2 linked regions of the Macaca mulatta genome follow. The protein of the gene in region 1 interacts with the protein of each later gene in a pairwise test. Links are inferred from orthologs where the notes say so. Each region holds a gene or a part of one and is shown on either strand. Other genes may lie near its edges. The genes, in order: TANK and PLK1.

Region 1 (3,821 bases):
GTAATTGAAGTTGCCAGAAATATTTCATCTCTTCAGACTTTCCTTCTTCATTTTCCTTTTTCATTGATTTTTCTCATTTAAAGAAAAAAATCAATTGTATATTACATATAGGTCTATAAGCTGTCTCAAGTTATTTTTCAATAGGGAAGGTAAATAAGTTTTCCTTTGTGTTTTCTTTTTACTTGATCTCATTTGAATTTGGAAGCAATTTAAAGTAGTAATAGTAATCATTTTGTATCTTTAAGGTAAGAAGACAAGAGGTTTCTTCTCCTAGAAAAGAAACTTCAGCAAGGAGTCTTGGCAGTCCTTTGCTCCATGAAAGGTAGTTCTACATCCTTTTTTTTGCCAACTCTTAAAAATTTTCAATACTGAAATATATTTTATATATATATTTTTAAGCTTTAACAATTGCAAAAAAATAGCCTTTTAGAATAAGTGGAAGTAACCATCCCCAGAGTCCTACATGTTAAAAATGACCTAAACAAGTCATGCAGTTAATAGCAGAGCTGGATCTAAAACTTGAATTCTCTAAAGCTCTACTATTTCAATAAACCAAGTGTTAAGGCCATATTTCTTTATATGGATGGATCCTAATGTGAACTTTACCAAAATGAGGAATATTTAATATTCTATTTAAGATGTTTGCAGAGAACAAAAGTCAATGCATTGAAATTTCTAATGTGAGAATAAGACAGCCAGCATTAGTGTATATATGAATAAGTAGATATGCTAGACTATACTATATTTATGTATTAAAACTTTTAATTTATCACTTACTTGGTGCCTGGCCCTCTACAAACACAAGCTGGTTTTTGGGATATTGTCTAGGAATTAAAAATTTTTTTTTAACTTTTAAATATTTTGTGGCACATAAAATGGTACTACATAAGTTTGATTATTTTAAAAACTTGGAAATTATAGCTTTACATTTTAAAATGTTGATTTTTATTTTTTAGGGGTAGTATAGAGAAGACTTTCTGGGATCTGAAAGAAGAATTTCATAGAATATGCATGCTAGCAAAAGCACAGAAAGACCACTTAAGCAAACTTAATATACCAGACACTGCAACTGGTAAGATTTAATTTAATTTACAGTAATATTGATTTGATTGATTGAAATTGATTTCTTTTTGAATGTGAAAATATTCCTGAATGCCTATTAATTGTGTAGCATCTGTAATTTACCCCTCATCCACGTATATTTGAATGTGTACATGCTGTGTAAGTTCTGTAGTGCATTACATATGTATTTGTTGGTTTTTTTTTCTTTGTTGTATATGGTACTATATAGATTGAATTGAAAGACATAATTACTAATTATCTTAATGAGAAATCCCACCTTAAAAAATACAAAATAAATATTGACTATATCCCTGAAAGTTTTCAGTTGTTGTTTGGGGGACTTATTAAACATTAACTCTTATGTGAATAAGCGACCTTGAAGCCATACTACCATATTATATGAGCTAAGTAAAATTATAACATCAGGTTTGTTTGTAAGTTCTGCCTGAAAGTTCATTACATACACTATGGATAGATGTTTTTTTCTGGTTTTTTTTTCTTTTTTTTAATTAAACACAGGATCTTGCTATGTTGTCCAGACTGGAGTACAGTGGCTATTCATAGGCGTGATGGTGCACTACAGCCTTGAACTCCTGGGCTCAAGAATTCTTTGAACTCATTTGGTTCAAGAATAAAAATGTGACACTCAAATTTCCTGAGTGCTAGTCCTGTTTAATGCACAAAATATACATTTAGTATAAAATACAACTTAGAAGGAACGTTTGTTTTACACATGTGTTATAGTATGTTTTATAAATGCTCCACCCTTTCCTAAAACCCCAGACTGGCTTCCTGGTATTTGCTTCAGTAGTTCTATATGAATAGCAAAATACAAGGGATTAGGTCTGGCAACCAAACACTTCTGCAAACAAAAGGAAGGTAAACTGATCATTTATAATGATAAATTCTCCTTTACCCTTGTGATTTGAGCTATTCTGCAGACAATTCCCAAGGGATGTGATTTACAGTTTTCACTCTGAGAGATGTAGTCTTGCTGACTAACACCCCTTTAATTAAAGATCACTTTCCATTTCTTGCAGCTCTTACATCTAGGCTATTTAAAATAATTTTATAGTGTAAATTCACTTTTTGCTACTACTACCATTTTATATTCAGAAAAGTTACACAATGTGGTATTACAGAAGCAAAACAATCTTTGTAAATACATATAATTTGGTTCTTTCTCTCCCTTCTCCCACCTCCCCAAAAACAACTCTTTTCTTCACCTGAATTTTTGTCATTTTCATGAGAAATTGATCTTTTGTATGGACTAAAGTCACTAGGTACCTCTGAAGTAAATGAATTATTTCTGTTTAAAATATGCTAGCTATGGAGATGTAGTACCTAGAATTCATAAACATGCTTTTTTGAACATCAACATCTTTTCAAGGCATTGTAATGGTGATATATTCTTTGTTACACAGAAAACTTACCTCATTATCAGTGGCTTAATACTTTGACCATTTTTAAATTGCACAGGTCTAAATCTGAGTATGTATCTGTCAACTAGAACACTGAGTGTTTAACTTCAATTTCTTCTCCACTAAAACTGCTTCCTGATGCTTTATTTTTATGCTTTATATTAACAGTGTCACAAATAATAAATATATTATTCTCAAAATATTTTGTGCTACAGACTCTAGTGAAGTTTTGCTGGGGTCCAAAGAGAAACCAAAATAAATATTATGCTCTGACAGTAGTATATCAAAAGGAGAAAGGAAAAAATATTTTTTGAAAAGATGCCTATTCATGGTTTCCAAGTATGTATGCTATACTGTATAAAAATATAGAAGAACTATTTCAAATATGATTTGCATAATATATCTGGGAAAAGGTATGTGTATTGTCCCTGTGTTATTTTGTATTAAAGTTTGATGTTTGCTTTTAAATAACCAGATGATTCATTTGAAAATACTGAGTTAGTAGAATTTTTACATTTCCTTTTTATTATTACTTTGTTTTTTCTACTCATCTACATATGGCAATAGACTTGAGAAATGATAAACAAAATGTATGTTTATCCATAGCTTCAAATAAAGTACTGTTTGGTTCATAAAGGAGTGTCCAATTTCAGTAGAGATTAGGAAAGAAGAATATAGGATTAAGGGTAACAAACATCCATGAGCAGGGTGACAAAAAATCATGAGGTCTTTTTCTTTTGTCAATATACAAAATAATTATACTGAGAAGTAACTAAATGGATAGCCTATATTTAAAATTTGGAAATCTAAAAATGTTTCCCATTTTACTTTTTCCTTGCAAAACTAAGTATTCTTAAAATAGACAAAATAGAAAAGCTATTTGCTCACCTGATCATGTTTCTCAATATGGTGTCAGGATGACAAGTGCTTTCATGCATCTCATTTGAGTTTTAAGTTGTCTCAGCTTAGATTTCTAGTAGCATTAGAAATCTAAGGTTTAAATTTTTTTAATAGATATAACTCTCACTGCTTGAGCAGATTAACTCAGATTATTTTAATGTGGCTGAGTTTTATGCCAGCTAGCTTTGCTGAAAGAAAATATCTGTTTTTTTAGAGCTGTTTGATTTCTCCACGTTTTGTTCACAGCCGGGATAGATCAACTGCTGGAAAAATAATTCAAAGCACATTTCTGTCAATTTGGGGACTTCTCTCTATATCTAGAAACCAACATGTTCAATTTAGCATAATGGTTCAGAGCACAAATCTAGAGTTAGATCGCCTGGGTTCCAGTGGCAGATCTGCCACTTACTATTATAGTTGTGTGGCCTTTGAATTAAC
Region 2 (3,784 bases), on another chromosome or scaffold:
GGCAGCTCTGAGCTGCTGTTGCCTTCAAGCTGTTTGCCTGAGTGGCAGGTCGTATCCTGCAGGGCCACATCGTTGGGTCAGAGGCCAGAGCATCTGAAGATCTGTTGCCTCACAGTGAGCACTTGTGCCTGTCACCTGAGCATGGCAGCTGCTGCTCTAATAACCAGGCACTGACTCAGTTTCCCCAAAGCAATGGTAGCTAAGAGAATTTTTCTTTTGGAAGAGTTTCAGCTGTGGCAGGGGAGTCCTATGCCCTTCCCAACGCCCCTGTTTTTGTCACCTTTCTAGGCTTGGAGAACCCCCTGCCTGAGCGTACCCGGGAAAAGGAAGAACCAGTGGTTCGAGAGACAGGTGAGGTGGTCGACTGCCACCTCAGTGACATGCTGCAGCAGCTGCACAGTGTCAATGCCTCCAAGCCCTCGGAGCGCGGGCTGGTCAGGCAAGGTGGGTACTGCGGGGCCCTGGGCGGGGCAGGATTGCTTGGGGCATCTGGAGAAGGCAGGAGGAGCCTTGGCCAACAAAGCACTGGTGACTTGTCCAGGCCCTGTCTCCATAGGACCATTGGTTTCCCCATTTCCTGATATCCGAGGCCCTGCTTGCTGTGGCTCCTGCCTTCTTTTCTGATCCGTCTCTTACTCTAGCACCTCGATGTGCCACCTTCACACGCTGTTTCTTTTGCTCAGTAAGTTCCTGTTGTTTCTTCAAGACCCTTGAAATAACAGACCCAGACGTACTGCAGCCTCAGGGCTTTCTCCCTGGCCCTGGCATGAAAGCACTTCTTCCAGACACCACATGGCTCACACTGTGGCCTCCTTCAAGTGTCTGCTCCGGTGTCACCTCCGTGAGCATCTCCCTGGCCCCTCTGCTGGTGCTTCGCATCCCCTTACCCACTGCATAGTTTTCCATAACACTTCTCACCCAACATAGTCCAACACGTCCTTCTTCTTTGATTGGATTTAAAGTAAGGTGTTTGTTGCATGCACTGAATATAACATTTTAATGTGTTTGCAGCCGGCGTCTGTCTTCACAGTTTCCTAATTACTCCAAACTGGAAAACTAGATGTCTCTGACTCTTACCATGATAGAAGTCACTGATATTTTGCCCATACTTAATTTGATTAGTCTTTGCCCCTGCAACCACAGTGTAAGCTCTGTGGAGGCTGGGGTTTTGTCTGTTGCTCACTGTACCTGCAACAGTGCCTGGCACGGTAGGCCTTCAGTAAATGGGTCAGTGGAATGAAGGAGTGAGTGGAACTTGGTGCGCTGTGTTGAAACTTTCTGTGTAGAGATGTCTATGCTGCTGCTTGTCTGAGCCTGTTGGCAGCAGAGGCCCTGCTTTGCTCTTCTCTGGGGCCCTAGGCCTCTCAACTGAGCCCAGGTGGTGTGCCCAGCAGGCTTCCTTGTTCCCTGGTGTGGGCCACATGTGTGGACCAGAGAAGAAGAGGCTGGTCCTGACCAATTGTCTGTCTGTTTCTGTCTTAGAGGAGGCTGAGGATCCTGCCTGCATCCCCATCTTCTGGGTCAGCAAGTGGGTGGACTATTCGGACAAGTACGGCCTTGGTAGGTTTCTTCCAGAACCAGGTGGGTGACTCAGGCACAGCCAGGTGACCTTTTCAGTTGTTACAGGCTCTGGCCTTTTTGAGCTCCCAGGTACTCTTAGTGCCCTCCTTTCTCCATCCCAGGCCTCCCAATTCCAGCTCCCAGTGCTCCCCGACTCCCCAGCCTTTTTCCCCCACTGCCCAGAGACAGGGTCCTACTCTGTCGCCCAGGCTGGAGTGCAGTGGCACAGTCATGACTCACTACAGCCTCAAACTTCCAGGCTTATGCCTGGCTGCAGGCTCAGCCTCCTAAGTAGCTGGGACTACAGGCATGCACCATCACGCTCAGCTAATTTTTAAAATAGTTTGTAGAGATGAGGTCTCATTACATTGCCCAGACTGGTCTCAAACTCCTAGGCTCAAACAATCCTCCCCCCTCAGCCTCCCAAAGTGCTGGAATCACAGGCATCTGCCACCGCACCCAGCCCCACTCCCCACTTTCTATTCCCCCTTTCTGAGACCTCTCTCCACTGATCCCTAGGGTATCAGCTCTGTGATAACAGCGTGGGGGTGCTCTTCAATGACTCAACACGCCTCATCCTCTACAACGATGGTGACAGCCTGCAGTACATAGAGCGTGACGGCACCGAGTCCTACCTCACCGTGAGTTCCCATCCCAACTCCTTGATGAAGAAGGTAAGTGCCGTCCGGCTATTGCGGGAGTGGGACCTGTGCTGGAGGGCGAGACTCTAATTCTGGAACCCCTCACTTACTTTTCATCCAGATCACCCTCCTTAAATATTTCCGCAATTACATGAGTGAGCATTTGCTGAAGGCAGGTGCCAACATCACGCCGCGTGAAGGTGATGAGCTCGCCCGGCTGCCCTACCTGCGGACCTGGTTCCGCACCCGCAGTGCCATCATCCTGCACCTCAGCAATGGCAGCGTGCAGATCAACTTCTTCCAGGTGAGCTGGATGTCACCAGGGGCAGGAGAGAGCTGGGGTAGGCTCCACGTGCTTGGCAGTGGCCCATGTGAGTTGAGTATGGAGTGAATGGCTCAGGTACCTATAACCTGTTGTGTCTTCCCTCTACTCCCTAACATACACTGGCCTCTGGGATCAGCAATCCCTGCCCCTCTTCTCTTGCAGGATCACACCAAGCTCATCTTGTGCCCACTGATGGCAGCCGTGACCTACATCGATGAGAAGCGGGACTTCCGCACGTACCGCCTGAGTCTCCTGGAGGAGTACGGCTGCTGCAAGGAGCTGGCCAGCCGGCTCCGCTATGCCCGCACTATGGTGGACAAGCTGCTGAGCTCACGCTCGGCCAGCAACCGCCTCAAGGCCTCCTAATAGCTGCCCTCCCCTCCGGACTGGTGCCCTCCTCACTCCCACCAGCATCTGGGGCCCATACTGGTTGGCTCCTGCGGTGCCATGTCTGCAGTGTGCCCCCCAGCCCCGGTGGCTGGGCAGAGCTGCATCATCCTTGCAGGTGGGGGTTGCTGTGTAAGTTATTTTTGTACATGTTCGGGTGTGGGTTCTACAGCCTCGTCCCCTCCCCCTCAACCCCACCATATGAATTGTACAGAATATTTCTATTGAGTTCGGAACTGTCCTTTCCTTGGCTTTATACACATTAAACAGATGTGAATCTTCTTTTTCTTGTATTTCCTGAGGGGTGCCAGGGCCTGGGATCCAGGGAACATCTCTGCTTCATCAGCCCCAGGCTGCCCAGCCTCTGCCAGTCTTGTGGGGGGTAGGGGGTGACAGTGTCTGTGGACCAGACTGGAGTGCAGTGGCATGATCCTGGCTCTCTGCAGCCTGGAACTCCTGGGCTCAAGCGATTCTCCCACCTTAGCCTCCCAAGCAGCTGGGACTACAGGCGTGCGCCACCATGCCTGGCTAATTTTTCAAATGTTTTGTAGAGGTGGGGTCTTGCCATGTTGGCCAGGCTGGTCTGGAATTCCTGAGCTCAAGTGATCCTCTCACCTCAGCCTCCCAAAATGCTGGTATTATAGGCGTGAGCCACTGCACCCAGCCTGGCAGTCTTTTCTGATTCTGATTCTGAGGCCAGCCACAGGCTCAGCTCTTCAGCTAGCCAGCATGGAGACCATTTGTGTGGCCTCCGGCCCACCTCACCTCCCTGCAGCCCCAGGGCACGACCCCCTGGCCTCTGAGTCTGGTGGGTAGTAGGGCAGGAAGAGGCTCTCAGAGGCGCAACTCCTCATGACTCGGTGCGTGTGGA

The links.
Region 2: the proteins of TANK (region 1) and PLK1 interact in binary tests that used the Homo sapiens proteins (3 or more experiments, as listed by UniProt). The link is inferred for Macaca mulatta from reciprocal best matches to the Homo sapiens genes TANK and PLK1.

The regions. Positions count from the first base shown.
Region 1 is NC_133417.1:66,034,583-66,038,403, forward strand, and holds part of TANK (TRAF family member-associated NF-kappa-B activator), read left to right. Parts: intron 1-245; coding exon 246-322; intron 323-956; coding exon 957-1,072; intron 1,073-3,821.
Region 2 is NC_133425.1:23,232,053-23,235,836, forward strand, and holds the end of PLK1 (serine/threonine-protein kinase PLK1), read left to right. Parts: exon of another isoform or gene 1-288; coding exon 289-444; exon of another isoform or gene 445-1,482; coding exon 1,483-1,560; exon of another isoform or gene 1,561-2,079; coding exon 2,080-2,234; exon of another isoform or gene 2,235-2,322; coding exon 2,323-2,505; exon of another isoform or gene 2,506-2,688; coding exon 2,689-2,892; 3' UTR 2,893-3,195; downstream 3,196-3,784. Other genes in the region: ERN2 (serine/threonine-protein kinase/endoribonuclease IRE2), read right to left, coding at 3,675-3,784. UniProt on the Homo sapiens protein: Serine/threonine-protein kinase that performs several important functions throughout M phase of the cell cycle, including the regulation of centrosome maturation and spindle assembly, the removal of cohesins from chromosome arms, the inactivation of anaphase-promoting complex/cyclosome (APC/C) inhibitors, and the regulation of mitotic exit and cytokinesis.